Linked DNA regions of Macaca fascicularis. The protein of the gene in region 4 interacts with the protein of the main gene of each other region in a pairwise test. Links are inferred from orthologs where the notes say so. Each region holds a gene or a part of one and is shown on either strand. Other genes may lie near its edges. The genes, in order: APOL6, LMO2, SHFL, ADAMTSL4, TOP3B, CFAP206 and NATD1.

Region 1 (4,161 bases), on a different chromosome or scaffold from region 4:
AGCAGGCAGGCCTGGGATGGCTCAGCGACCCCAGCCAGGCAGCCAAGTTGTCTTCAAGGTCAGGCTGTGTTTAGAGTGTTCTCCAAGTGTGGGAGGCCACAGCAGGGCTGGCTTGTGGAATCTGGGATGCCAGGGTTGGAAAGGCCCCTACAGGACCCAACTCAGCAGCGCTTAACCCCTCATTCTTGCTCGTAGGGCCAAGGGAGAGGAGGTGGCCTCCATCGTCGCAAAGGCAGGACTGGCTAGGTGGGCCACGCCTTCTGCAAAGCAACAGCACCCAGTGTGGCCTCAGCTAGGGGTGGTGACTGGGGATTTCTGCAAACCACGTGACTTCTGATCACAACTTGACAGAAATGCTAGAGAGACACAGATCTCAGCCGGTAACCACACTGTGGGCTCATTCTTGCAGACACAGCGCCTAGGACTGGTTCTTAGCTGTGTAATCACTAACTTCTAGAAGCCTGAGTTTCCTCTTCCTTAAAGTGGGAGACAGAGTATCACATCCTGTATCTCCAATCCTTGAGGCCATATGCATGTCAGAGTTCCCAATTAATTTTTAGAAAAGTAATGGGGTTCAGGTATCACGTACTATGTAACCCACCCACCCCCAGCAGCCCTCCTCAGTCAAACACATTAATATTTTTGCAGTGACAGTGAATATTCAAATTAAGCAAGAGACATAAAAACCATAAGTGAATTCATGCCAGATCAGGTCAGGTTTTGCCACTAAATGAATAAATTATTTATTTTTTTTAAGTTTTTGTTTTCAGGCCGGGTGCAGTGGCTCACACCTATAATCCCAGCACTTTGGGAGGCTGAGGTGGGTGGATCACTTGAGGTCAGGAGTTTGAGACCAGCCTGGCCAACATAAAACCCCATCTCTACTAAAAATACAAAAATTAGCCAGGCGTGGTGGCAGGCGCAGGTAATCTCAGCTACTGGGGAGGCTGAGACAGGGGAATAGCTTGAACCCAGGAGGCGGAGGTTGCAGTGAGCCGAGATCGTGCCATTGCACTCCAGCCTGGGCAACAGAGCAAGACTTCATCTCAAAAATAAAATAAAAAATAAAATAAAAAAGTTTCCATTTTCAGAGGATTCTGCATTTCAGAGTTATTAGCCCTTAAATGCCGGCCGTGCACCTCATAGGGCTGTTATCCACATCAAGATGCTGTGGAGGGAAGCAGTTTCAGAACAATCAGTGATGATCGCTACTGTGAATCCACTATTCATCAGGTGCCCCATCGCTTGCTCATGGGCTCCTCACCATAGCTCTAAGCCACAGGAGCTATTTTCATACCCCATATAGGTCCATCCTATAACACAGCCAGGACAGAGACGAGAGACTCAGGCCTTCTGACTTTGATTCTGCTCTTTCATCTTGTTGTGCATGCAGTTAGAGAAACAGGCAAAAAGGAAAATGAAAGTGCACAGCTGGAGCCCATGATTTCCTGGAAGAGCCCGAGAGTTTCGCTTTTTTTATTCCTGCAGCACTTAACAGAAACCAGTTTTGCAATCAATTCCTGTTCAAAAGCCACCCTACAGTCTTTCTCCAGCCCAGACGCTCACAGCCTCCTGCAGGACCGGGGGCCTCGGAGAGTCAAGGACAGAGGTTCAGGATCTTCCTCTCCCTCGGGACCCGAGGCCACAAAGGAGAGCTCCGTGGAGAGAAGGTGAGATGGCAGGCAGAAGTTGGGGGAGAAGGGGGCTGCTGCTCTAGTCCCTGAAGGACAAAGCCCCCAAGGGGTTAGCTTTAGGCACCTGACTCAGGAGAAAGAGCTGCTGTCCAAGCAGCGGGGTTCAAATGCCAGCCAGAGCATGGGGAGAGTCTGAGGATCAATTTCTCCTATGTTAAACCCGGTAGGTTTCTGTCCCTTACAGCCATTTGAGGGTTAAATCAAAACGTGATAAAGCATGTGATGTGACTAGCCAAGCTGCATTTGCCCCTCCACTGCTGGGGATCCAAGGGCTTAAGCAGAGGTGATCTGGCAGTTAGAAAGCAGGTGATTTCAGCTGGGCGCGGTGGCTCACGCCTGTAATCCCAGCACCTTAGGAGGCCGAGACGGGCGGATCACGAGGTCAGGAGATCGAGACCGTCCTGGCTAACACGGTGAAATCCTGTCTCTACTAAAAATACAAAAAATTAGCCAGGCGTGGTGGCGGGCGCCTGTAGTCCCAGCTACTCAGGAGGCTGAGGCAGGAGAATGGCGGGAACCCGGGGAGGCGGAGCTTGCAGTGAGTGGAGATCGCGCCACTGCACTCCAGTCTGGGCGACAGAGCAAGACTCCGTCTCAAAAAAAAAAAAAAAAAAAAAAAAGGAAGAGGGTGAGGGAGTTTGTGATAAATATTAGGGTGACTAGGCCAGGCGCAGTGGCTCATACCTGTAATCCCAGCACTTTGGGAGGCTAAGGCAAGTGTCTTGTTTGAGCCCAAGAGTTTGAGACCAGCGTGGGCAACATAGTGAGATCCTGTCTCTAAAAAAATCAAAAATTAGCTGGGCGTGATGGTGCACACCTGTAGTCCCAGCTACTGGGTGGATAGGGGGTTGCTGAGGTGGAAGGATCACTTGAACCCAGAAAATCAAGAATGCAGTGAGCAGTGATCACACCACTGCACTCCAGCCTGGGCAGCAGAGTGAGACCCTGTCTCAAAAAAAAAAAAAAAAAAAAATTGGGAGATTATCTTGAAGCTGTGTTTTCAAAGTAAGCAGACTTTTCTTACTTAGATTGTGTATCTGAAGAAGCTGGTTTTGTGGGGGAAGGCAGGTAAGGAAAGACTGTCATAAATATCCTATAAGCTTTCAAATGAAAATAATGTCTCAAATCCTCTCCCAATACAACTCTCATCTCACAACCACCGAGAGCAGGTCAGAGGGGAGGGAATGGGATCTGCTCAGATGAGTTTCCTGCTGTTACCTTTGCCCTGCATCCCATAGGACTAATGTAAAAAAAAAATGGGAGAGGTACTGGGGGACTCTGGTGAAAAATGGGGTTCCAGACCAGGGTCTCTCACCCCCGGCACCCTTGTCATGTTTAACCAGGTGATCCCTGGTTGTGGGGGCCGTCCTGTGCATTGTAGGGTGCTTGGCAGCATCCCCGGCATCTGCCCACTACATACCCTCTCCAGCTGAGACCATCAAAAATGTCTCCAGATATTAGCAACGTCCCTGAGGAGCAAATGTACCCTGCTTGGGACCGACCACTCCAGACTCAGCGTGGCTGGAATCGTACAGGCTCTCCTGCTTACTGTGTAACACTGGCCTCCCTATGTCTCAGTTTGCACATCTGTAAAATGGGCATAATCTTAGCATCGATTTCACAGGGTCACCGTAAAGCAGGTAGATGTATGTCTGGCGAAAGTAAGTCCTTAAAGGTGCCAAGCCCCTCAAACCAAACCGAGCTTCACATCCCAGAGTGGGGAGAACGTTTTTATCTTTGACGCATTAATTCTTTTTCATAGACTGCCCCAAAGAAATAAACAAACATGTAGACACACATCTATATAAGGATTTTAACCAAAAATTATAAATACAAACTTTTAAAATAACTGAAAACAACCCAAAGTTTCAACAGCGAGAAAGTTACTGAATGTGTAGTGATACATTCGTATAATGAAATGCGACACGGTTTCTATATATCACCTGGGGAACTACTACCATACAATGTTTTTTTTTTTTTTTTTTTGAGACGGAGTCTCGCTCTGTCGCCCAGGCTGGAGTGCGGTGGCCGGATCTCAGCTCACTGCAAGCTCCGCCTCCCGGGTTCACGCCATTCTCCTGCCTCAACCTTCCGAGTAGCTGGGACTACAGGCGCCCGCCACCTCGCCCAGCTAGTTTTTTGTATTTTTTAGTACAGACGGGGTTTCACTGTGTTAGCCAGGATGGTCTTGATCTCCTGACCTTGTGATCCACCCGTTTCGGCCTCCCAAAGTGCTGGGATTACAGGCTTGAGCCACCGTGCCCAGCCCCAATGATACAATGTTAAGTGACAAGAATTCACACAAACTACATGAACAGCATTCATTTAAATTTTTGGTTTGTAAAATAAAATGTCACTAGTTTTTATTTCCATGTGGTGAGTGTACAGGTGGATTTTATAATCTATTTCTAAATTTTCAACCATAAACTTGTATTCAAACAATTAGAAAATGAATGGCTATAAGAAT
Region 2 (4,137 bases), on a different chromosome or scaffold from region 4:
AAAGGACTGTGAAAGAGGATAATTTGCCCTTAGCTGGTGCAAAACTGCCTGGAATTCAAATGAACTGCTCTTGTTACTCACAGGGGAGGCAGTGGGGGCCACCAGTGGCATAGCAAGGGAATCTCTGTGTTCATGAATTCTGGCTGGCTTTCTGTCCAAATGTTTCATTTGCATATAGCTAGGCAAGTCTCCATCTGTAATTTGGAGATGCTGATTGTAATGACCCAAGTCGGCTTTGAGGAAGTACACAATGAAGCATCTAGTAGGATACTGGACAACAGGAGGAACGTAAAGTAAAAGAGTTATGGTGATGGCCTGAGATGAGATGGAGAAGTAAAGTATAAGATATTGGCTCTGTCTTTCTATAATTAATTGATAATATCACATTATACTTAGTGGGCAATCCAAGACAATGAATGAGGTTGATTCACCCTCAAATTAATATTTTATATTCTCCCAGACCCTTATCTTGAATATTACACCTGAGTATCACTTCAGCCTGGATTTCTGGGATAATCATAACAATTTCTAAGGGGGTGGAGAATGTGCTGCTGCAATTTCTCAACTAGCTTGTCCCTCTTTGATCAGAAACTATCTTCGCTGGGCAAATAGTGAAGTGAAGGAAGGAGCTGGTGAGCCTCCAGCAGTAGATACCTGCTGTGTTAGGAAGTTAGGATGTTTCAGTTTTCTAACCTCAGTGAAAAAGCACAAACTTTGAAAGACGCAAACTTCCTTCAGGGAAATGAAACCTTCAGATTTACCTTCTATTGAAAGGATTAGTGACTAAATTCTGCTGATCAAAAAGGCATGAGGCACCAATTCATCCAATTCACTCCCTTATTGTGTTACTATGATCTTGCCCAGTCTCTGAAACTCAAAGCTCAGTTGTAATTTTAAGTTTATTTTTAAAAAAGTGATCAAACCACCCTTTAAACCCATTGTTGACATAAACATACTTTTAAAAAGAAATGTTATTTTTCTCCTGAGAATTTGTTGAAGGAAGTGGGGGTTTTTGCTACAACAAACCTAGCTCATTACAGAACTGGTGTCTTAACCTTCAAGACGGAATAGTGATGTTTATATTCTCATTGGATGGTGGTACTTCCTGTGTTTTATGAGAACATGCTGAGCTTTTATGCTGCTAACTGAGGGTAAAACCCAGGTAAATAAACACCATAGAAAGCCGAAATTGAAGGGTGTATGTGTGTGTGTGTGCGGTATTTCAAGCAGGAAAGCACAATTCTTTTAAACCAGGAAAAGAAAAAACAAAACAAATGTCTCTTAAAAGCACAAATGGACAAGTCATTAACCAGCTCCTTTGGTCTTGTGTAACAAATCCCTTCAAAGGATTAGAGGGGGACTTCAAAGGAATAAAAATTCTCAAAACCAGACAGCTAATGACTCTTAAAAGGGCATTTGCGTTGACAGGAAAATGATATCTTAAACACCCCTTGCTACCCATGTTAACACTAAAGAATTGGTGAGAGATAGAAAAACATTCCAAACCAGTACGAGGCTCAGAAAACAGATGCGGTCAATGCTCATTAGAGCTCTGGTTCCCTGACCCCAAACGCTTTTGAGACTATGCTAAAAACTACGAGACTCTACTCCCTAGAAGAATTCACCTGTACACAAAATGGTGCATTAACTTTCGAGGTTCACAGGCCCCCATCGGTGGACCCCGAGGAGGGCTACACGTACTCAGATTTACTCCGGATTTCGCTGCTCTAGAAATCCCCGGAGGCCCAGAGCCAGCTCCGAGGTGGACCGTCGGACCCCTCACCCGCCCGTTACCCGCGCGGCTGGCAGCGGCTCCACCTGCGGACCGGGGAGGCGGCCGCTGGGGACCCTGGAGGCCTCCACTTGGAATGTTCCCCTTTCCAAGACCAAATGGACAAAGAGAAAGGGCCGAGAAGGAGAGGTGAGAAGGGAGCCGAGTCAAGCATGGAACGCTCTCCGGACTGCACCTGCACGCCGCCAGGCTCCCCTTGTGCCTGCTCCCGTGCAAACTTTCTGGCCCGCGGTGGCTTTAGGCAGCGTCCTGATAGCCTGGAGTGGCCCGCAGAGGCGCCGAGCCGACCCCTCTCCCTGCCGCCCACCGCCCAGTCCCTCTCCCAGCGCCCCCGAAGTCACCCGGGAGGAAGAGGGAGCCCAGCGCTCCGCACAGGGGGCCAAGAGCACGCCGCAGGCGCGCACCTGGAGTCCCCTCGAGGGCCGCCCGGGTCCCCCAGCCGCTCCGGGACGCGAGGCCGTGGACACCGGGGGTGGCAGGGGCAGGGGCGCCGCACTTACTCTGAAGGGTCCAGGCTCTTCCTTTCGATGGCCGAGGACATTGGGGAGGGAGGCGGCGTGCCGGGCGGCAGGGGCGCTCCCTTTGTGGCGCGGGGCTGGCCGGCTGCCGGGGCTCGGACCCCCTCGGGTGCTCGGGCGCCGCCGCCGCCGCTCCTGCGCCTCCGCTTGCTCCGGCGCTCCGGCGGCGAGCTCGCCCCTCCGCGCTCAAGGACAGTCACCGCGCTCCCTTCAAATGCCAAAGAGAGAGAGCGAATCACCGGGCTGCGGGCGCGCCGCGGCCGAGGCGGGGGCCGGGGCGCGCAGCCTGGCCCTGGGCGGCTGCAGCTGCTGCTGCTGCTCAGGACTTAACCTTCCATCCCGGTCCCGCCGCCTCCGCCGCCCGGTCCCTCTCGCGCGCTGTCGCCGGCTCCGCGCCGCCCGCGGGGATGGTGCACGCCCGCCCGGCCGCCCCGAGCCCCTCGCACCTTCGGCCCGGGTAGCGGGCGCTGCTCGCCGCGGAGGGCAGAACGGGGGCGGCGGCCTGGGGGCGGGGAGGGGACTGTGCGTCTCTCCCCGGGCTTCCTCCTCTCTCGGGAAGGTCTATTTTCGCTCAGCTTCCCTCTGTCTCTGGTTTCATTTCCTTTTTCCTGATCACGATTCAAATACAATAGAAGGAAATCACATTTAAAGAGACAGCTGCCCGGTTCCCCCACCTCCCCTTTTTTCTTCTTCTTCTTCTTTTTTTTTTTTTTTTTTTTTTAACGGGGCTCCTGGGGATTAGCAATACAAACAGCAGCATCAGGACTGACTTGGCTTCTTAAAGGGGCCAGTGTCGGGGACGGGGAGATCCGCTCAGCTAACACCTCTCCTTGGAGAGGAGGCTGGGCAGCCACTAAATAATTCTTCAGGGCTTCCCCCCTTCAGCCTTTCCCTTTTGGTTTAACTAAGGCAGAAAGTAACCCACGAACAGCTCGAGCAAGCAAGAAAAAACAAGAATGTGAAATAAGCACCTACAGAAATGCAAGTGTTCCGAGTGGATTTTGAGCCCGTCCCAGGTTCGAGATCCCAGGTCCACGGACGCCGAGCACCGGGATGCCCCGGACAGCGCGGCTCTGCGGGCTACCGGCTGCGGGCTCCAGGCTGCGGCCGCGCTCTGCAGAGGCGATGGGGGTGCGCGAGCCGGGACTGCACGGGCTGGGGACGCCTGAGCAGAGTCAGGGCAGCTAATCCCAGAGGGAGGGTGGCTGGGAGGGACTTCGTGGGGCCAGGGCTCCTCTCAGTAGGCTGGTGTCGGAATCCCCTCCCTCAGCACCTTTCAGAGAGCGGACTCCTGCGGTTAAACTGCCCCCCATGTAAAGTGCCAGTAGTACCCCGACCAGAGAAAGTGTTTTTTCCAGTGATCCAGAACAGTATTAGGGAGATTATTTTGCCCTGGGTCAGGCACAGAGAAAGAAGGCGGACTTGATTTGGGGTTTCAGGCTTCCCCTCTCAGCCTCCTTCTAGAAAGAGGTAGGAACACAGAGGGTAAGAGAGGGGAGGCCAATAGTCTGCCCTTCCATGGAGAAAACGTTTGTCTCTCCTGGGCCTCAGAGGTCCTTGAAAATATCTGCGTTCAGAAACTGAAAGGCCTATTTGTGCGTGATGCCAGTCACTAAGGCTTGCAAAGAGGGAACGTACTTTCAGGATCCATAGTTTTATATGATCAGTCTGGATCATAGGCATACATTTTTGTTCCCATTTTCAAGATGGCACATGGGCCTGGATGAGCTCACCCTGAAAGATGGTAGTTGAAGTCAGAAGTGAATCCCTGAGTGCTTCATTTTCCCTGTTCAGAGCCAAAGCTTCATGACTTGTTACAAGTATAAC
Region 3 (4,220 bases), on a different chromosome or scaffold from region 4:
TTCGTGAACCTAGCAAGTGACTTCATCCTCAGTTTGTCTGTGAAATGGGGATAAATAACAGGACCTGTCTCCTGGGGTCACTGTGGCGATGAAATAAATCAATTCCTGGAGTCTTGCCATATGGGAAATACTAAATGAATGCTACCCTCTGCTATTGTTATTATTATATTTTTGAGATGGAGTTTCACTCTTGTCGCCCAGGCTGGAGTGCAATGGCGTGATCTCGGCTGACTGCAACCTCCACCTCCCAGGTTCAAGTGATTCTTCTGCCTCAGCCTCCCAAGTAGCTGGGATTACAAGCATGCACCACCACGCCCAGTTAATTTTTTGTATTTTTAGTAGAGACGGGGTTTCACTATGTTGGCCAGGCTAATCTCGAGCTCCTGACCTCAAGTGATCTGCCCGCCTCAACCTCCCAAAATGCTGGGATTACAGGCGTGAGCCACCGCACCCGGCCCCTCTGCTATCATTTTTATCATACTTTTATATGTATAAATGTAGACTATGATACATATTTTACTATCCTCTGGGTTTTTTTGTTTTTTGTTTTGTTTTTGAGACGGAGTCTTGCTCTGTTGCCCAGGCTGGAGTGCAGTGGCGCGATCTTGGCTCACTGCAAGCTCTGCCTCCCGGGTTTACGCCATTCTCCTGCCTCAGCCTCCTGAGTAGCTGGGACTACAGGCGCCTGCCACTACGCCTGGCTAATTGTTGTTGTTGTTGTTGTTTTGTATTTTTAGTAGAGATGGGGTTTCACCATGTTAGCCAGGATGGTCTTAATCTCCTGACCTCGTGATCTGCCCGCTTTGGCCTCCCAAAGTGCTGGGATTACAGGCGTGAGCCACCGCGCCTGGCCTTTTTTTTTTTTTTGAGACAGAGTTTCGCTCTTGTTGCCCAGGCTGGAGTGCAATGGCGTGATCTTGGCTCACTGCAACCTCTGCCTTCCAGGTTCAAGCGATTCTCCTGCCTCGGCCTCCCGAGTAGCTGGGATTACAGGCATGCGCCACCATGCCCAGCTAATTTTGTATTTTTTAGTAGAGACAGGTTTCTCCATGTTGGTCAGGCTGGTCTCGAACTCCCGACCTCAGGTGATCCGCCCGCCTCAGCCTCCCAAAGTGTTGGGATCGCAGGCGTGAGCCATGGCGCCAGGCCTATTATACTGTAACAGCCCTACACTGAGCCTTTCAGGCAGGCGAAATCCACAGTGTTCCCATCACCAAAGCTTTCGAAGAAGCAAAGTAGCCATGATGCACCTGTGCTTCAAAGCCATTCATTCATTCATTCATTCATTCATTCATTCATTCATTCATTCAACACAAAGGTTCCCTTCCCCTCCCTCTCTCTCCTCCCCAATCCCCTGCTCATCCCAGCCTTTCTAGAGACTGACACTAACAACCCTTCCCCACCTCCCAGCCTTTGCTCATGCCATTCCCTCCCACACCCTAAGGCCCCTGCCTTTCTTTCCCTTTCCCCTCCCAGGGCTCACTCCTCTCCATCCTTTAAGACTTGGTACCTCCTCCTCCAGGAAGTCTTCTCTGATCTCTGCCCCCCCACGATGGCCATAATCCTGACTCCTTTCATTGCCTAGTTTCATGGCTGTCCGCCTTTGAATACAATCAGCGCATAATGAGCGCCTACTGTTTGCAGGCTCCCTGGCCGGACAAACGATAGAGAGGTGAAAAAGTGATATTGGGTGATGAGTTACAGACCGACAATGCCTGGTCCCTCCTGTTTCAGAGAAGTGTCAGTCACCATGAACCGGTCGGGTCCCCCCTCTTGCTGTCCCTCCCGTGACCCGGTCCTTTGCGAGGGGAGGGGACAGGTTACCTGGGCATCCAGATCGTTACTTAGTTCTTGGCCATCTTTTTGCTTTACCCCTGCGGGGGAGAGTGCGTATAAGAGAAGGGCCCTTGAAGGGTCTGTGGGAGTTCCAGGCCACCCAGAGCCGCGATGCAGAGCCTCCCCGAGGCTGGGACCTCCGGGGGAGGTGATCTCAACGCCTCTCCCTAGACCACGCCCCCTCGGCGCTCCCACGCGCGGTCTCCGCACCAGGCCCGGGACCCCAGCAGCCTCACCGTACACGATGGAGCGCCCAACTCCTGTGTGGTCGCTGCCGAATTTCCTCATCAGAGCCCCCGCCTTCTTGGAGGATACCTTCCCATGAAACTTCTCCCGGAGGCGCCGGACGCTCTTCTCCAGCTGGGATGGGGACAGGGGGGTTCCGGTGGGCGAAGGGGAAGCGCGATCGTCCCTCCCCCATCTCTAGGCACCGTTCTCCCGGCCTGAACTTGACCCTTGGTTTTGGCCTCCGCCGCCCCCCCTTTCATCCCTCTACGGCATTTCCTGGAAAAAGCCAAAGTCCCCACATGGCGCTGGGGGAGGGCGCGGACTGAGGCGAGCGTCCCAGCCTAAGGTGGGGGGGCGGCCAGGTTATCTCTGGCCTCTGACCTTTGACCCTGCAGCCCCCGCTTTTCCTCGGAGAGGCCTCATTTCGCTCTGGGGAAACGTGGGAGTCACTTTCCTTTTCAAGGGGGGTGAGCGCCAGGCAGGGGTAAAGATCTGGGGTTCTAGGATGGGGGTCCCCAGGAACTGCGAAGCCCCCTCCGCGCCTCTCGGCCGCTCCTCGGAGTCTGTCGCGTCTGCCCCCGGCCCAGCCGTAGCCATCTCTTACCTCCACACCTTCCTGAGACATGGTGGCGGCGGCGCAGGTCCCCGCGAGGGTCCGCACTGCGCGGTTCAGCCGCCCCCCTACCTGGGCGCGCCCGTCGGTCCAGCAGCCGCGCAGGGCAGGGGGCGGTGCCTCGGGGCCGGCTCCGCCCTTCCTCCCCAGCCCCTGTTTCGCTTTCGATTCAGGGGGGACCGGGCGCGCTGGCTCCGCCCTGGCTCCGCCTCTGCTCTTGCGCCCCAAACCCAGGCGGTCGCCCCGGGTCTGCACCCTGCGGCGGAGCGCGCAGACCTCGGGCGGGGGAGGCGGCGCGGCCTCTGCAGTCGGTCACATGTCCCCACGCTGCGCGGGGTCCGCGTCTTCACGTCCCTCGTGGGGGCGGGGCCGCATCGGAAGGCCGCGGCGAGGCCCCGCGCCCCCCCACCCAGCGCGCGCTCCCCCAGTTCATCACCCTCCTCTCTGTCCTCCCTCCTTCCCCGGGAATCTGGCGCTCATGAGGACCTGGGCGCTTTTCCTGCCCTGAGTCTCTGTCCTAGCTAGGGTCACCTCTCTGAACCTCAGTTTACCCCTCTGTGAAATGGGGAGGATCCTGGTGTCTACACCATGGAGTGGAGTATATGCCAAGATTCCCGAGTGGATCGCGTAATAGCGCCTGGCTTGCAGTAGGCACTCAACTAGTCACTGGGCCACCTGCTGTGTGCCCTTGATAGGGGCAGGCAGTGTGTGTGTGGTTGTGGGGAGCGGTGCTTGAGAAAAACACAGATTCTTGGTCTCTCGTTGCCCGGTAGAATCCGGCTGTCTCAGGGATCCAGGGAATCTGCAATGGTTAAGAACCCCGTGGGCTGGACAGTTCTAACCCAGTACAGGGCGCATCAGGGAGCCGTTAGGTGGTGGGGCTCTGGCCCAGCCTGGGGACACAGAGATGGCTACTTCATTGGAGGAGGGGATGCTTTGTACAGTCACTGAAATTGGAGGTCTTAGCTCGGGGACGAATAGAGTGGGGAGTTGAGGCAGCCGTGCAGAGCCCCCAAAACAAGACTAAGTCTGGGGCTTTCGGGCAAGGGCTTCTCAAGCCCAGCACTCTTGACACTTTGGGCTGCCTGGTTCTTTGTGTGGGGGACTGTTCTGTGTGTTGGGGGACATTTAACAGCATCCCTGGCCACTGCCTGCTAGATGCCAGTGGCTCCTCACTCTCCCTGTTGTGACTACAAAAAATGTCTCCAGAGACTGCCAGATACTCTCTGAGGGGCAAAATAGCATTGTGTTCAACGACTCTAAATTTTTTTCTCCATTGCACACCTCTATAGGTAAAACTGTTAAAATTACACCCCCAGATGGATATTTATTTATTTATTTATCTTTTGAGACAAGGTTTTGCTCTGTTGCCCAGGCTGGAATGCAGTGGTTTGAATACGGCTCACTGCAGCCTCGAACTCCTGGACTCAAACAATCCTCCTACCTCAGCCTCCTAAGTATCTGGGATTACTGGCATATGCCACTATGCCTGGTTAATTTTCAATTTTTTTTTTTTTTTTTTTTTTTTTTTTTTTTTTGTAGA
Region 4 (4,117 bases):
TGCAGGGACAGAAGCCTGGTGGTTACCTCTCCAGTGTCCAGAGAGCTTGGGGCTGGGAGGACAGATCAGAGTGGAGGAGGTGGTGAGACTGGCCCACCCCTTTAGGATCCTCAGGGTGGGAGCAGGGAGGATCACTGCCTTGTCCATCTGTAGAGGCTACATGGTCGGGGGCTGACCTCAGCCTTCCAACTAAGGCTCAGTCCCCACCCCTGGGCCCTGTAGGGGCTTCTTAGCTCCTCCCCAAATCCTACCTAGAGACTGTTTCTAGGCCGGCTCAGGCACACACAAACGGCTTTTTTTTTTTTTTTTTTTTTTGAGATGGAGATCTCACTCTGTCATCCAGGCTGGAGTGCAATGGTGCCACCAAAGCTCATTGTAGCCTCAAACTCACAGGCTCTCCTTCCTCCTCAGCCTCCTGAGTAGGTGGGACTACATGCGTGCACCACCACACCCAGCTAATTTTTGTATTTTTTGGTAGAGACGGGATCCAGCTAAATTGCACAGGCTGGTCTCAAACTCCTGGCCTCAAGCGCTTCTCCTGCCTTGGCCTCCCAAAGTGCTGGGATGACAAGTGTGAGCCACCGCACCCAGCCAGAGGGCTCCTTCTAAAATGGTTGTCATCTGCTCCCACTCCTGCCCTCCCAGAGGTGCCTAGAAAGTAGAGGAGGAAGGCTCCACTGAGGATGTGCCAGACACTCTCTCTGAGGATCCACCAGAAGCCCCTTCCTCGGGTCTTCCAGAAACGAGACCTTCCCCAGACATCTCTCTGTCCTACTTGCCTCCTGGCTTTCTCTTCCCTTCTGTGGAAGAGATGTGCGGGAACATCCAGGCACATCTCAGACACTTTTGGCCAAGGGATAAGCTAAATGGGTTGACGGTTTAATCTCTAGAGAAGAAGCCCGCAATGTAACACCCACTCTGGGTGCCAGCATCCAGCACTGGTTCAGTGAGGGCTTGTTTCCTGTGCGGCTCTACCAGCTGGGGAAGCGGGAAGGAGAGGTGCAGCCAGGGCTGCCTCTTGCCCCAGCCACAGGCCTCTCATTCTCAAGAGGCAGGAAGTCCATCTGAAGTTCAGCTTTGAACACTGGAGAAGTGAGGCTTGGAACCCTCCCGAGCCACAAAGCCTGACTCTCCTTGCCCCCTTCTCACTTAGAGGCCTTCCCACCCCTGCTCCTCATCCCACTCTTGGGTCTGCTTTCCAGGAAAAAAAAAAATGTTTCTGTTGGATCTGAAAGGCACCCGGGAAAGGAATCCAGGGAGCCCTCAAATTGCTGAGGTGGGCCAGCTCTGGGGCAGAAAATGACCAAGAGAAGGGAAGGAATGTGCCTGGGGGCAGACACTGCGCCCCACTGCCCTCCCTGAGACCTAGGGCTCATAATTTGAGGGAGGGGTCAGAGTGGCTGAGCCAGAGCGGGCGTGCCTCACGGTTTAGGGTTGGGGAGGGGGTTGCCGATGGCCACTCCTTCCCCTGGCTGGGCCGGCCACTGAGGTCAGCAACTCCGCCCTGACTGAACGGGGGAGGCCAGGGTCTCCAGAGAAGGGCCCATGTTCCACCCAAGTGTTCAGGCTCTGCCTGACTCTGTTACTCTAGCTGAGGGAAGAAGAAAGGGGGTGATGGTCACTGCCGGCCCCTTCTCTGATGCCGACCCCTCTCCATGCCCTCTCTGCCTCTGTTTCTCTCTGCCACCCAGATCTCACCGCCCCTCTCCACGGGTCTACCCAGTACACATAATCCCGTCCCGAGCTGGGTTTGGCCTTGGCAGTTCCCTGGAGAAGTGAGGGGTGGGGGTGACGTGAGCTCCTGGGGCCCGGGCCAGGCCTGGCTCCCTCTCTGGAAAAGTCCCACCCCACCCTCCCCTGCGCAGCCCGGCAGGGGCCCATGCCCCCTCCTCTGCAGAAACACACGCACATTTGTGCTTCTCACCCCTTTCCATGTGCCTCATTTGGTGTCGTTCACGGCCCAGGACGGGGAAAGGAGAGGTCAGAGGTTGGTGCCAGAATAGACCCTGGTCTGGACAAATGTGGGCTCCTCCGGACCACACCTCTCCACACTGCCCAGTGAAAACCAAGGAACAGAGACCTGAGCAGGGCTCACCCCTTCACCCCCAGGTCTCCCTGCTGGAGAGTGTGGCTCGACCCTATGTTTCTGGAATAGCCACAGAGAATCCCTGTCCTGAGTCCGAATTCCCTGGCCCTCATGGAGCCCTCCACTCCTGGGTCTGGCAGGCCACCCCAACAGGTGTCTTTCTTTTTTGTCAACCTCTTCTGTCATCGGACTGAACTGGATCAAGGGCACCCACCTGCGTCCCTCGCGGCGACCCTGTCCTCCAACTCCAGGAGTTGCAGTAGGGGGGCGGGAGGCACACCGTCCGAGAGCACCCTCCTAGGGAGAGGGCAGGAGGCGCTGCCCGCGCGGGGAGGTCGTGGGTCTGTTTTCCAACTTCGCTGTGTGACTTAGGAGGAATTTTGGCTCACTCCTCGCCCGGGTGATGGGGCCAGAGTTCCACGGGATCAGACCCCCTCCCCAGGAATTCGACCCCAGGGGCTGGAAGATCGTCCGAGGCCACCGGAGCTGGGGCCGGGGTCGTGGCGGGGGCGCGACCGACCGCACAGCGCAGGGAGAGGGGACGACGCGGGCGCGCGGGGCTGGTGGTCTAACGGGACCCGGGAGAGGGGCGGCCGGGGCCGGGGTCTCGGGGAGGTCTCTACCTGCTCTGCGCGCCCCGGTGGCCCGTTAACCCTTCTGCACCCGGACGCTCTCTACAGGCAGCCTCGCTCCGCGGCGGCCACTGCGGCCCCTGAGCCGCTCTCCGGACACCGCCGCCTCGGCCGCGACTCCGCCCTCGCGCCCGCCCCCGCCCCGCCCGCCACGCGCCCCAGCCCGCGCCCCTTGGCGGTCCCGGGGTGGGGACGGTCGGCCTCGCAGTCCCGCTCGCCAGGACCACCCACCCCGGGCTGCGCGCCGGGCGCCCCCGGTCGGCTGCGTGAGCAGAAGCCCGGGCGGGCCCAGCCGGGGTCGGAGGCTGCGGTCGCTCCCGGGCGCTGTCCTCGTGTCCGGCTGGGATTAGGGACTTAAGCAGCCCGGGCCTCCGAGTGGCTCGGGTGAGCGGTGCGAGAGCGGCGCGGCGCGGGCGGCCTCCAGGGGCGCCTGGAGCTAGGCGGCCTGGGAGAGCCGCTGGTCCGGGAGGGCGGCGCCCTGGACGGAGGTGCCCGCGGCCCCGGATCCGCGTGGGTCCAGGCTCTCTCCTCCACGCAGCCTCACCTGCAAGCTCAGTCACTCCTAGCTCTCCCGTGTTGGGCAGTGAACCCTGTGGTTCTGATTGCTGGGACTTCTATGAGCTTCGGTTTTTCCCTCAGTAAGGTTTTACACTCGGGACTCAGCGGAAGGACAACGTGCTGACTTCTGAGTCAGAGTGACCTGGTTTTGAATCTCAGCTCCAGCACTTGCCGGCTGTGTGGTCTTCCACAAATACTTCCACCTCTGTGTGGTGCAGTTTGCTCATCTGCAAAATGGGACTAATCTAATATATGGGATGGACTTGGATATGTCTCTTTATTTATATATGGAAGAATGCACCCCAAACTCAGTAGTATTGGTGACATCTGGGGAGGGGTTCAGGGTTGGAGGAGAACTGAAAAAGGCTTTTGCTTTTTACTCTGTGTTATGTTTATTATTATTATTCGAGACGGAGTCTCTCTCTTTCGCCCAGGCTGGAGTGCAGTGGCACGATCTTGACTCACTGCAAGCTCCGCCTCCCGGGTTCACGCCATTCTCCTGCCCCAGCCTCCCCCGTAGCCGGGTCTACAGGCGCCCACCACCACGCCCGGCTAATTTTTTGTATTTTTAGTATTTTGTATTTTTGTATTTTTATATTTTTATAAAATATATTTATAGTATATATTTATACTATTTTTTATACAAATATTTTTACAAAAATTTTATACAAATTTTATATACAAAATATATTTATAGTATTTTGTATTTTTAGTAGAGACGTTTCACCGTGTTAGCCAGGATGGTCTCGATCTCCTGACCTCGTGATCCGCCCGTCTCAGCCTCCCAAAGTGTTGGGATTACAGGCGTGAGCCACCGTGCCCGGCCTCTTGTTATTAATAT
Region 5 (3,500 bases), on a different chromosome or scaffold from region 4:
GTGAGAGAAAACCTGGAAGATTGAAGAGTCAGAAGGGCTGCAGATGGAAATCCTACAGAAGCCGGCATCCGCCAAGCTACAGGGATGGCAAGTGGGGCCCGTCCCAGGGGAAGTGCCACTCCTTGCTGTGGGGAAGGCTGCTGCCTGCACCTGCTAGTATTGCTACCTCTTCTGCTTTTTCAAGAGAAGCTGGAAGGCAGAATTTTCGTATGGAATCTCATAATTTTTAAGTGCTGGTAACTATTCTGGAATTTGTGTAAACACCATACAGGTTAGTGGAGTGTATCCGTGAGCTGTGCTTGGTTGGGGTCCTACCACTCTCTACCTCTGCTGAACACTTGTTGGAAGAGACAACTCTTTGTTTTGCCTGTGGCAAAAACAATCCAAACAACTCAACCCCAGGCCCTTGCCCTTGTCAATCCCAAGGAGGCTGGTCATGGCAATGCCCTCTGCATTCCAGACCGACAGATGTGGGTGGTAACACAGAGGCCAGTTGTTACGTGCAGCAGTGAAGCTGGGCTCCCTGGCATGAGGCCTGGAGGTGGTAACAGTGTCTTTGCAGGAATGTGATCAATGCTGACAGCCTGGAGCAGCTTTAGAAGTCTCAGATGCCTGAGACGTGGCATGGCAGGCAACAGGGCACTCAAGGAACGCCGGAGAAGGACAAGGAGAAGGTGGCTAAGTAGGCCAGGCTGTGTTTCAATGGATCTGGTAGCTGTCACACCTGTAGCATGTTTACTTCAATAGCCACAGATGTGGCCCCACCTGTGCAGCCCAGTCACCTCGCCCTTTTCCTAACAGCCAAGCAGCATGTCCTTTCAATTCATGGAAACCCTGAGTAAGAAACATAATCCCATAAAAGCATGCAAGCTGATTGAAATTGGAATCCCAAGCCTATCCCCTGCTAGCTGTGACCTTGGACAAGTTCATCAATTTGCACGCAGGTCCCTCAACAGTTGTTAGCTTGAATCTCTGTGTGAGATGGAGTCCTGCCACACAGAGGTAATGCCTAGTGGGTCACGCGGAAAGGGGAGGGTGGAAGGGGTCTGACAAGGTCACAGGCGTGGAGAGTGCTTGGTATGGAGCGGGCATGCAGTACACTGTGGCTATTGCATCGGGCAGAAATATCTTAGGAGTATATGGGGGAGTAAGCTTTCGGCTTTCCAAAAAGATGTCTGTGTTTTAGAAAGGGGGACGAAGACATGGCCTAGGATCACAGGCTGTTCCTCCAGCAGGAGGCATCCAAGGGCCACCCTCACCCAAGGCAACTGTGGTAGGTGTGGGTGGAGCAGGCGCACCTGGGCTTCCTTCTCCAGCTTTGTCATGTTTAGAAACATCTGTGCAATCTCCCGGTCAAACACTCTTACTCGGTCCCAGTCCAAAAGGAGACATCTGTCTTTGTCAGTGTTAACCTGCAGGAAAAAGCATAAAGGGTGAACGCACAAGAAAAAGTCTCTAGGTGAACCCAAAGCCAGGAAGAACCAGGACAGATGAAGCTGTTCCTTGTCTGGGAGCAAAACAGCCCTGGCTCTAATGGCTCACAGCTGCACCTGTTCAGGCGGGCAGATACGCAAGCTGACATCTGGCCCTCTCCACCCCGTGCCCTGAAACCAGGCAGTCAGTCTCAGGAAGGCAGCCCAAAGCTGAGGCTGATGTGTCCTTAAGAAGCACATGAGCCCCTACTTCTCACACCACCCCTGCCTATCCCCAGTGCCTGGCCAGTGGTAGGTATGGCCACCACCGGGGTCCCAAGCCAGAGCAGCTCCAAGACAGGGTCTCACTGTGTTGCTAGGCTGGAGTGCGGTGGCACAATCGTAGCTCACTGTAGCCCTGGACTCCCGGCCTCAAGCAATCCTTTTGCCTCAGCCTCCCAGGCTGTTGGGATTACAGACATCAGTGACTGTGCCTAGCTGTATTAAGTCTTACAGTGAGCTTCCGTGGAGGTTTTTATTTGAAGAAAGGGTTCCAGGAATTTTAAAAAGTTTGAAAGTCAATGGCCTCAGTCCAGTGCTTGGACCTGACCACTGCAGCCACTGTGATTCATGTGAGGTGACCTCACCCTGCACTGCCAGAGCTGAACTCGTTCCCCCTTATCCAGATTCAGCACATACAGGCCCAATCTCTTCCCACTATCCCCATGAAGGCTGGGGTCCCTCAGCCCTGGGCACCACAGACCACTTCCAGGTATACCTGTCCACGCTTCTGCCCTCAGCCTGGGGCCTGCCAGCTGATGATGATGGAAGACTCTCAGAATCCGTGCCCCAAACCCAGAAAGCCCCAGCATGCATAGAGAAAGGCAAGGAACCTTGGCCTGCAGCACCCAGTAGGTCTCTGGTTTGAAGGACTGGATTTTATCATGTCTCTCCACACAGAATCCCAGGGTTGGAGTCTGACACGGCCCAAAGGAGATGAGAGAGCTGTCTAAATCACCGTATTTCCCCTGGAAATATTTAGTCTGAAACCTGGAGGGAGTGGAGAGAAAGGTATTTTGGTCACTGATTCACTCAAGACACTATTATGGCCACCCATGTGAGTCCAGCCCAAGGCCAGGGGTGGTGCGTGAGGGAGGTGGCACCAGGTGGTGTCCCCGCTTAGAAGTCAGTGGGAGCAGAGTGGGCATAGCCTTAGGGAGGATTCATGTGTGTACATGGGTGACAGAGCCAGTGAGAGAGTAGACAGAGGTTTCTACTGTCTCGGGCCAGGGAGCCTTCTATTCTATTCTATCTACCGCACACTCTCCTCAGGACCCCCAAAGCACAGACAAACACACTTTATCGAGCAGGGCATAGGTGATCTCTGTCAGCTAAATAAACAGTTTTCTTTAGGTCTTTTTGGTTTTTGTAGAGACAGGGTCTTGCTGTGTTGCCCAGCAGGAATGCATTAATGGGGATTCACAGATCATTGCAGCCTTGAACTCCTAGGCTCAAGTGATCCTCCCACGTCAGCCTCCCAAGTAACTGGGACTACAGGCTCACGCCACCACACCCAGCTAATTAAAACAAAATGCTTGGACAGGCACAGTGGCTCATACCTGTAATCCCAGCACTTTGGGAGGCTGAGGCAGGCGGATCACCTGAGGTCAGGAGTTTGAGACCAGCCTGGCCAACATGGTGAAACCCCATCTCTACTGAAAGTATAAAAATTAGCCAGGAGTGGTGGCGAATGCCTGTAATCCCAGCTAGTCGGGAGGCTGAGGCATCAGAATCACTTGAATGCAGGAGGCAGAGGTCGCAGTGAGCCGAGATTGTGCCACTGCACTCCAGCCTGGGTGACAGAGTGAGACTCTGTCTCAAAAAACAAACAAACAAAAAAATAAATTTTTGTTTAGCCTGGGCGCAGTGGCTCCCAACTGTAATTCCAGCACTTTGGGAGGCCAAGGTGGGCGGATTGCTAGAGCTCAGGAGTTTCAGACCAGCCTGGGCAATACAGTGAAACCCTGTCTCTACAAAATACACAAAAATTAGCCAGGCATAGTGGTGCATACCTGTAGCACCTGTAGT
Region 6 (4,284 bases), on a different chromosome or scaffold from region 4:
GTACTGAGCTCACTGCCTGGGTGATGGGTTCAATCCTACCACAAATCTCAGCATCGTGTGATATACCGTTGTAACAAACCTGCACATGTGCCCCCCTGAATCTAAAATGAAAGTTAAAAATAAATACCCCCTACATAAACAAAATCATGAAGCCGTAATTCCCAGAAAAACAATTATATTCAGCTCATTAATTATGTGCTTATTTTCTTTATTGGTATTTACAAGTATATTCCATGTCCAAAAATTCTTGTTTTTTAAGTGTTTTGTCAGTTTTAGCTAAATATTTTAGTTATCGGTAAATAATGTTTATTTTTTCCAAGCACTAATTACAAAACTCCACTTCTTTAGATGAGAGATGCTGACAAACATTATATAAAACCAATTACAAAATGTGAAAGTAGCACACAGACGGATACACACATACTGCCACCAACAATTGTGAGATCATATGAGTGGAATGAATGGGAATTAAGAAGAAAAGCTATAAAATTGGTTTGTAACAATATTTTCTAAAATTATATGTTGGGGAATTTTAATCTGTTGTTAAAGAGTTGGTAAATTATTTATATAAAATAACGAGTTTTATACAGTGTGTTCTTTGCTAACAAAAATATAATTTATAATTTGCTAGGTTTACATTATAAGATTGTCTTCTAATTTTAAGCATATGTAGAACAATGGTAATTATCTATCTATCTATCTATCTATCTATCTATCTATCTATCTATCTGTCATCAGTTTTAAAACTTGGTGCTAGTATTTAAAGCACTCCCAACTTCCTTTAATCACTTAAGGTATACCATTCTTTTTTTTTTTTGTTTTTTGGACCTTTTCTATTAAAGCATAGATATTTTCCTCTGAACAACGTATTATCTCCAGACCCTGAGCACTCTCATCCTTCTGATTCTCAGTCACCTTAATTACAATATACCTACCCTTAAAGCCTGTCTTCGAAACTCTCATCCCTGTCCAATTCAGTGAAATTCCCCCCACCAACCCCTCTTTATAGTATCTTGTCATTTTAAACAATGAATATTTATAGTATGGAAAAAATAAAATCTTTTATGTCTGTAGCCCCTTTTTAGTATATTTTATCCATCTCTTTAACTGAAATCAGGTGTGGAAATAAAATGCCTACCCAAATGTGAACAAAGGGAGGCTATTTATTTAGAGCTTGCTATAGCAAGGGAGTCAGACACTGTCACTTGTTGTTTGGTAGACTGAAAGCATGCAGAGGAGTAGGAAAGCTTTATAGTCAGAAAAGGGGGAAGCCTTTAGGTGTTCTCTGATTGTAGGTTGTTAACATGAGAAAACTGGAGGCAGGCTAACTAGAAGCAGGGCATTTTATGTGATTGGTTTGGTGAGCATATCTAGGTTTCTCTGGTTGGTCCTGAGTTGGGGGAGAAGGATCCAAAACATGGAGAAGCTGGCTAAGTCCTCAACATTCTGGGTCAATTGCTACAGCTACAGAGGTTGAGACTGGCTTCCCCGACTGGTCGATACAGAGGCTGCAAGTTAAGGAGTTCTATTGTCACATATGGTCTAGCCTTTGTCCATTTGTATATTCAGTCTCTCACAGGCTTCCCATTGACCACATTATTTCCTTTGCTACTCACTCTGGTGGCAACTTTTCAGTTTCCTGGCATGAGGAAGGATCAGTTTCCCTATATATCTTCCAGATCATTGTTCCATTAGTATTCCTTCCTATCAGTTACTCTTCTGTAGTTCAAGAAATGCCCAATCCCCATATTATTTTCTATTATCTACTAAACTCACTTGAGTTCATCAGACTTATTAGGTAACATATATATCCCACGACTTTGTTCTTCATGGGCTAATTGTCTAGCAAGTGATATTGTTACATTAAAAATATTTCAGTACCTCCTTGTAAGTGGTGTAACAGAAATGAAATGAAAATTCTACTAAATTAACATAGGTGATATTTTAGGTTGCTTTTGAGATACAAATAGGCAAAGAGGAGGAGGGAAATGATGGCTGGATAGGATATGAGAGATAGAGGTGGCAACATAGGTATGGACTGGAAATGTTAAGAGAATGGAGTATTCAGGGGTCTGAACTTCACACTGACTGAGCCCTCTCTTCCCATTCCTCAATCTCCACTTAATTCTGACTCTCACCTTGGGCCTTATTATTCCCTAGAACTGTATTATATTGAATGCCAGCTCCCCAAGTGTCACCTACCCAACCTGTGGATAAGACAAAGCTGAGTTTACTGCTTATAGCCATAAGGGAAAACACCACCTCAACAGTGCTTTGGCAGTGTCTCAGAAGAGGAACTGCAAAGTCAGAATTTATTGAGAATTTGAAGTTTGCTAAGGCAGGTCTTCCAATGACTGAGGTGGACTGGGGGTAGGATGGAGGTTTGAATCGGATTGGGTAAGGATCATGAAAAAGCAGTCCAGCATTGGTGGGAATAGCAAGAAGATTTTTTGAGGCAAGGGATGCAGACTCTTAGGACTGAAACTGTGTGCCGATGCTTACTACTGAAGAGTTGACACATCTTTGAGGTAGTACTGAATGAGCAATCAAGTTATTTGCTTAGGCAAGAGTCTCTTGGAATGGTAAAATTATGCTAATGAAGACAGTGGAATAGTAAAGTCTTATTAATGTGGACAATAACCTGGGTGTTGGGGAGTAGTTTCGGTTCTCAGTCATCTGCAGTATCTCAAACTCTGAAAATGTTTCCTCTAATTCCAGGTGTCTCCTTCTTCACTCACATGCTATAATGCCTTCTAAGGTTTTTCTTGGCCTTTACTATAACCGCAGCAACCTTATTCTTCTTTTTATAAGCTCCTCCTTGCTTCCCAGCCTGAGTAATCTGTTTAACCTCACATTTACTAGTAATCTATAAAGGGAGTAAGCAAAATGTAGAATACTGTAAAATACAAATGGAAAGCATCAGACTCTTTTATGTTAAAAATCTAGGGTGAAGCCCATTTTTAAAAGATAATACTGTATATAAATCTTAAATTTTTGTCAAAAAAAATATAGTGGAAAAATCCAAGTTATAAGAATCTCAAAGTATAATAATGAAGGAATTAGATTATATTAACAAATAACTGGTTGAGTTCACTGTAATTTTGAATCTGTATGTTTTTTGAGGTCAATTTTCAACATTTTACATATTTTTCTACTTCTTGGTAAGGGATATTTAATTTTCTGTTATGTTCTAGATTTTCCAGTGTTTTATAGAAAAAATGCTATGTTATGGAATTAATTTCTTGTGGATTGAAGACAAAAATAGGCAGATATTAACTGGTATCTGATAATATTTCAGGTTATTTGTTCTTTAGAGAAATGTTAATTCCTGTATTCTCTTTCTCTTTAGGCTAATTTGCACCAGAAAGTTACTCACTCAGTACAAACTGATCTCAGTCACTTGAGAAGAGAAAATTGTTCCCAGGTGTACCCTCCAAAGGACACTAGCACCCAGTCCATGAGGGAAGACAGCACTGGGGTGCCCAGGCCTCAGATTTACCTGGCTGGTCTTCGTGGAGGAAAGAGTGAAATCACCGATGAGGTCAAGGTGAATTTAACTAGAGCTGTGGATGAAACCTAATTAGAAACAACGTTTTAAAGTAGATGCTACTCAATTATGAACACTAGCAAGTACTTAAAGGTATATTAACATCTATAAAAATTAATTTTGTGGGGTGGCATATTCATTGGTTGTATGTTTATTGGGTTCCCACATTTTATCAAACTGTTTTCTGTAATACAGTTTTCATTCTGTTGAAAAATAAAACTGTCCATTTATCTTTTATTTGTTAGAAAAAGTTTGTCAGCATTAAGATTGAAATTATAACATTTAGATAGAAATATATTATAAGATTATTACTGGAATAGAAGTCTATTTCTAAACCATATTTAGTGTTAAACATTACAAACTTAAAACCTAATCAATATTTTCAGCTTTATTAGCTATTAAATGTTACCATAGATTAAACTGATACGTAACAAACCTTACTAATTTGGAACAATTGGAGCAAAGGTCCACGTGATGTTTTTTTCTCTTTCTTTCTTTTTTTTTTTTTTTTTTGAGACAGGACCTTGCTCTGTCACCTAGGCTGGAATGCAGTGATATAATCACAGCTCACCACAGCCTCAACTTCCTGAGCTAAAGCAGTCCTACCTCAGCCTCCTGAGTAGCTGGGACCACAGGCGTGTGTTACCACACCTGACTAATTTTCAAAACAATTTTCTGTTGAGACAGAGTTTCACCATATTGCCCTGGCGGGTCTCGAACTCCTGGGCTCAAGCGAT
Region 7 (3,500 bases), on a different chromosome or scaffold from region 4:
CCCAGGGCCAAGAAGCAGGCTGGACTGGCCACCAGGGCCACCGTCTCCTCTGAGGGAGGGTGGCAGCCCCCACGTCCCCGCTCCCACCTGGCCCTGCCGCCTGCCTACCCTACCTTGGCGAGGTGCTTGGCGATGCCGCGCCCACGGTAGGCATCTGGGACCTCGGTGTGCTGCAGGTCCACGATCCGCTTGCCCACGTACTCATAGAGCAGGACGGCCCGGTCATGACATCCTGGGGGTTGTGGAGACAAGTAAGCCTATGCTGACTCCCATCACAGTGGACTCAGGTGCAGAGACTGGGGTGGAGGGACAGGCATTGGGGGCCATTCAACTGCTACAGCTAAATCCTGAATAACCTCTCGGCGCCTCAGTCCCCTCATCCATAAAGTGGGGATACAATAAAATGTCCTTCATAGGCTGGTTTGGAAAATTAAATGAGGTAACCTCTGTGACATGCTTACAGCAGTGCTTAGAACACCTGAACCTCTGCTACTACGTCAGTCTTAGCATCCCAGAGCCCTACCACCCCTTCTGTAGCCCTGCTCTCTGCATCCCCACCCCACCACACCCCCGGATCTGGCCCCAGGACCCAGCATTGGACACAGAACAGGGCTCAGCAAATCTGCGACTAAGGCAGAGCATGAAGAGACAAGAGAGGCAGCGCTGTGCCACGCATCAGGACCACCTGCTGGACCCTGACCGAGATGCAGCAGGCAAGATCAGAGGCCCGTGGCAGAGTCCATGACGCTGGACACGGGAGACAGTAACAAATGCGTCTTCACACTCCACCAGGCCTGCCAGGCCTGGAGCTCACCAGTCCACCCCAAACTCCTGCTGGGCAAACAATGAACTGAAGTTTTTTCCTAACCACAGTTTTCAGTGTCTCATCTGTTTGCCTCTCCACCTACCCATCCATCCATCGACCCACCCATCCACTTATCCATCCACCAAATGTTTCCTGAGCCCCAGGTACTGTTTCAGATGCTGGGAATATAGCAGCAAACAAGCCAGACAAGGAGTCCTACCTCCATGAAACCCAAACGGGAGGAAGAATAAACATGAAAAGCAAGTGGATGTGTAGGATGCCAGGGAATGGGGGCAGGTGAAGACAGGAAGGAGAGGGCACCAGCCATTCTGAGGGAACGGTGTTCTGGGCAGAGGGAACAGCCATTGCAAAGGCTCTGAGGCGGGAGTGGGCCTGAATGAGGGGCAGCTGGAGTGGGGTGGGTGAGGGGAAGGGCAGAGATGGGGGCAGGGAGGTGATAGGGCAGGTCCTGCAGAGCCTCCTAAGCATTCTGAGCTGGGCGCCACTGGAAGCCCCTCAGCAAAGGGACGGATGCGATTCACGGATTCTGCTGCCACTGTGGGGAGAACGGATGGGGAGCAGGGGCAGGGAGCCCAGAGGGTGAAGACAGAACACAGACCAGGGCGGGGGCAGTGTGGCTGTGTGGAGCAGTGTTTTGACTGGATGGTATCTGAAAGTGTAGCCAGCAGGATTTACTGATGGCTCGGATGTGGTCGAGCAGGGAAAGGGGAGCCTAGGACAACACTGAGGTTTCTAGTTTCAGGGAGCGCCAAGTGTGTGAATGAAATAAACAAGCTGGGAGGGGGCCGTCAGGGAGGCCCCTCCAATGGAGGGGAAGTCACCGTGCCCAGCTCAGTGGCCCTCCGTCTCTCCTTTGATTCTCCCCAAAGCCTCTGAGTTGAGAGGGGAGTGCCGGGAAGGTGGTGCAGGGGCATGGCCAGGGCAGAGGTTCCAAGGTGGGAGACTCAACACGCTGGCACTTTCTCCACTCTTTAAAAGCACGCTGTGTTTCACGTGCTTTAACTTCAAAGCCCCAGAGAATCTGCCCCTAAAGCCTGCGCTGGGTGACACGAGGGGAAGGCTGACGGGCCAAGAGGTCCAACCACTAGTCCAGGGCCACCGGAACTGGGGCCAACGGCAGCAAGGAGGCTTTCTGGCCCTTGGTCTCTCCTTTGATTCTCCCCAAAGCCTCAGGAGATGGCTACAATTCATCTCCCCATTTCCAGAGGAGGAACTACTGAGATCCAGGGATCCAAGTCACACAGCAGGCCGAGATGACGCTGGAGCCCAGGCCCGCAGGTCCTGAGCCACAGCCATTCTTTCTGCTCCACCAACACACCTGCTACTTCCTGCACCCGCCATCGCCTAGGCATTTCCCTCTGACCGATGCCCTTTCCCCGTTCCCGCCAGGCCCAGCTGAGGGTTCCCCAGCCCCACTCCCCTCATGCCTGCAGCCCCGCCCCCGCACCGGCCCTGCTGCCTCCTCCTTGTGGGCCTGACTGTCCTTCTGTGGACTGTGCCTGCCACCCTGGCCAAGGCCCAGCTGTGGCCACTGCCGCCTGTCCTGGCTACACAGCAAGGGATGTGGTTCTTGGCTCCCCACCTGCTGGGGTTAATTCAACTCACCCAGGACAGGCGAGCAGAGAGAGGAGGCTATTTTGAGACTGACCCGGTCACCAAGGGAGCTGCCTACCTAACCTGGCCATTTAATTACCCCAGGCTCATTAAGGGCCTGCTATGTTCCAGCAGTGTTTGGGCTGCAGGGCAGGCAGCAGTGAACAAAACTGATGAAATTCTTCCTCATGGATCTTACCTACTGAGGAAGACACATAATAAGTAATATAATCATAAATAATACAGGGGCCGGGCACGGTGACTCATGCCTGTAATCCCAGCACTTCAGGAGGCAGAGGTAGGAGGATCGCTTGAGCCCAGGAGCTGGAGACCAACCTGGGCAACATGATGACCCAGTCTCTACAAAAATAAAAATAAAAGTTGGCCAGGCACAGTGACCCACTCCTATAATCCCAGCACTTTGAGAGGCCAAGGCGGGCGGATCACCTGAGGTCAGGAGTTCGAGACCAGCCTGGCCAACATGGTGAAAGCCCATCTCTACTAAAGATACAGAAATTAGCTGGGCGTGGTAGCGGGTACTTGTAATCCCAGCTACTTGGGAAGCTGAAGCAGGAGAATCACTTGAACCCGGGAAGCGGAGACTGCAGTGAGCCGAGACCGCACCATCGCACTCCAGCCTGGGCAACAAGAGCAAAACTCCATCTAAAAAAAAAAAAAAAAAAAAGGGTAGCTGAGCATGGTGGTACACACCTATGGTCCCAGCTATTTGGGAGGCTGAGACGGGAGGATCACTTGAGCCCAGGAGTTTGGGGCTGCAGTGAGATATGATTGTATCACTGCACTCCAGCCTGGGTGAGAATGAGACCCTGTCTGTAAATACATACATACATACATCACAGGTGATAAGCTGACAGGTGCCAAGGATCACTACACAGCAGAGGAGGGGTGGGTGGGGAGGGGCAGGGCTGCCACTGTAAAGAGGGCATACAGGGACCCCAAAGGAGATGTGGGGTATGAGCCATCCACTGGCGAGAACAGCATGTGCAAAGGCCCTGGGATAGGAGGTTGAAGGAAGAGCAAGGATGCCAGAGTGGCTGGGCCCGAACAAGCCGGGGGTGAG

The links.
Region 1: the proteins of ADAMTSL4 (region 4) and APOL6 interact in binary tests that used the Homo sapiens proteins (3 or more experiments, as listed by UniProt). The two-hybrid records come from large-scale screens. The link is inferred for Macaca fascicularis from reciprocal best matches to the Homo sapiens genes ADAMTSL4 and APOL6.
Region 2: the proteins of ADAMTSL4 (region 4) and LMO2 interact in binary tests that used the Homo sapiens proteins (3 or more experiments, as listed by UniProt). The two-hybrid records come from large-scale screens. The link is inferred for Macaca fascicularis from reciprocal best matches to the Homo sapiens genes ADAMTSL4 and LMO2.
Region 3: the proteins of ADAMTSL4 (region 4) and SHFL interact in binary tests that used the Homo sapiens proteins (3 or more experiments, as listed by UniProt). The two-hybrid records come from large-scale screens. The link is inferred for Macaca fascicularis from reciprocal best matches to the Homo sapiens genes ADAMTSL4 and SHFL.
Region 5: the proteins of ADAMTSL4 (region 4) and TOP3B interact in binary tests that used the Homo sapiens proteins (3 or more experiments, as listed by UniProt). The two-hybrid records come from large-scale screens. The link is inferred for Macaca fascicularis from reciprocal best matches to the Homo sapiens genes ADAMTSL4 and TOP3B.
Region 6: the proteins of ADAMTSL4 (region 4) and CFAP206 interact in binary tests that used the Homo sapiens proteins (3 or more experiments, as listed by UniProt). The two-hybrid records come from large-scale screens. The link is inferred for Macaca fascicularis from reciprocal best matches to the Homo sapiens genes ADAMTSL4 and CFAP206.
Region 7: the proteins of ADAMTSL4 (region 4) and NATD1 interact in binary tests that used the Homo sapiens proteins (3 or more experiments, as listed by UniProt). The two-hybrid records come from large-scale screens. The link is inferred for Macaca fascicularis from reciprocal best matches to the Homo sapiens genes ADAMTSL4 and NATD1.

The regions. Positions count from the first base shown.
Region 1 is NC_088384.1:16,023,175-16,027,335, reverse strand, and holds the start of APOL6 (apolipoprotein L6), read left to right. Parts: upstream 1-1,361; 5' UTR 1,362-1,440; coding exon 1,441-1,670; intron 1,671-4,161. UniProt on the Homo sapiens protein: May affect the movement of lipids in the cytoplasm or allow the binding of lipids to organelles.
Region 2 is NC_088388.1:31,709,443-31,713,579, reverse strand, and holds the start of LMO2 (rhombotin-2), read right to left. Parts: upstream 2,801-4,137; 5' UTR 2,649-2,800; coding exon 2,642-2,648; intron 2,519-2,641; coding exon 2,293-2,518; intron 1-2,292. UniProt on the Homo sapiens protein: Acts with TAL1/SCL to regulate red blood cell development. Also acts with LDB1 to maintain erythroid precursors in an immature state.
Region 3 is NC_088393.1:10,631,531-10,635,750, reverse strand, and holds the start of SHFL (shiftless antiviral inhibitor of ribosomal frameshifting protein), read right to left. Parts: upstream 2,801-4,220; 5' UTR 2,690-2,800; coding exon 2,669-2,689; intron 2,197-2,668; coding exon 2,073-2,196; intron 1,875-2,072; coding exon 1,825-1,874; intron 1,650-1,824; coding exon of another isoform or gene 1,511-1,649; intron 1-1,510.
Region 4 is NC_088375.1:110,701,468-110,705,584, forward strand, and holds the start of ADAMTSL4 (ADAMTS-like protein 4), read right to left. Parts: upstream 2,801-4,117; 5' UTR 2,710-2,800; intron 2,454-2,709; exon of another isoform or gene 2,301-2,453; intron 2,052-2,300; exon of another isoform or gene 1,912-2,051; coding exon of another isoform or gene 1,697-1,911; intron 1,696-1,696; coding exon of another isoform or gene 1,586-1,695; intron 1,584-1,585; coding exon of another isoform or gene 1,420-1,583; intron 1,418-1,419; coding exon of another isoform or gene 1,219-1,417; intron 1,217-1,218; coding exon of another isoform or gene 1,146-1,216; exon of another isoform or gene 1,011-1,145; intron 53-1,010; exon of another isoform or gene 1-52. UniProt on the Homo sapiens protein: Positive regulation of apoptosis. May facilitate FBN1 microfibril biogenesis.
Region 5 is NC_088384.1:31,160,359-31,163,858, reverse strand, and holds part of TOP3B (DNA topoisomerase 3-beta-1), read right to left. Parts: intron 2,463-3,500; coding exon 2,306-2,462; intron 1,413-2,305; coding exon 1,299-1,412; intron 1-1,298. UniProt on the Homo sapiens protein: Releases the supercoiling and torsional tension of DNA introduced during the DNA replication and transcription by transiently cleaving and rejoining one strand of the DNA duplex.
Region 6 is NC_088378.1:87,849,811-87,854,094, reverse strand, and holds the end of CFAP206 (cilia- and flagella-associated protein 206), read left to right. Parts: intron 1-348; coding exon 349-492; intron 493-3,349; coding exon 3,350-3,580; 3' UTR 3,581-3,784; downstream 3,785-4,284. UniProt on the Homo sapiens protein: Essential for sperm motility and is involved in the regulation of the beating frequency of motile cilia on the epithelial cells of the respiratory tract. Required for the establishment of radial spokes in sperm flagella.
Region 7 is NC_088390.1:20,671,312-20,674,811, forward strand, and holds part of NATD1 (protein NATD1), read right to left. Parts: intron 233-3,500; coding exon 114-232; intron 1-113.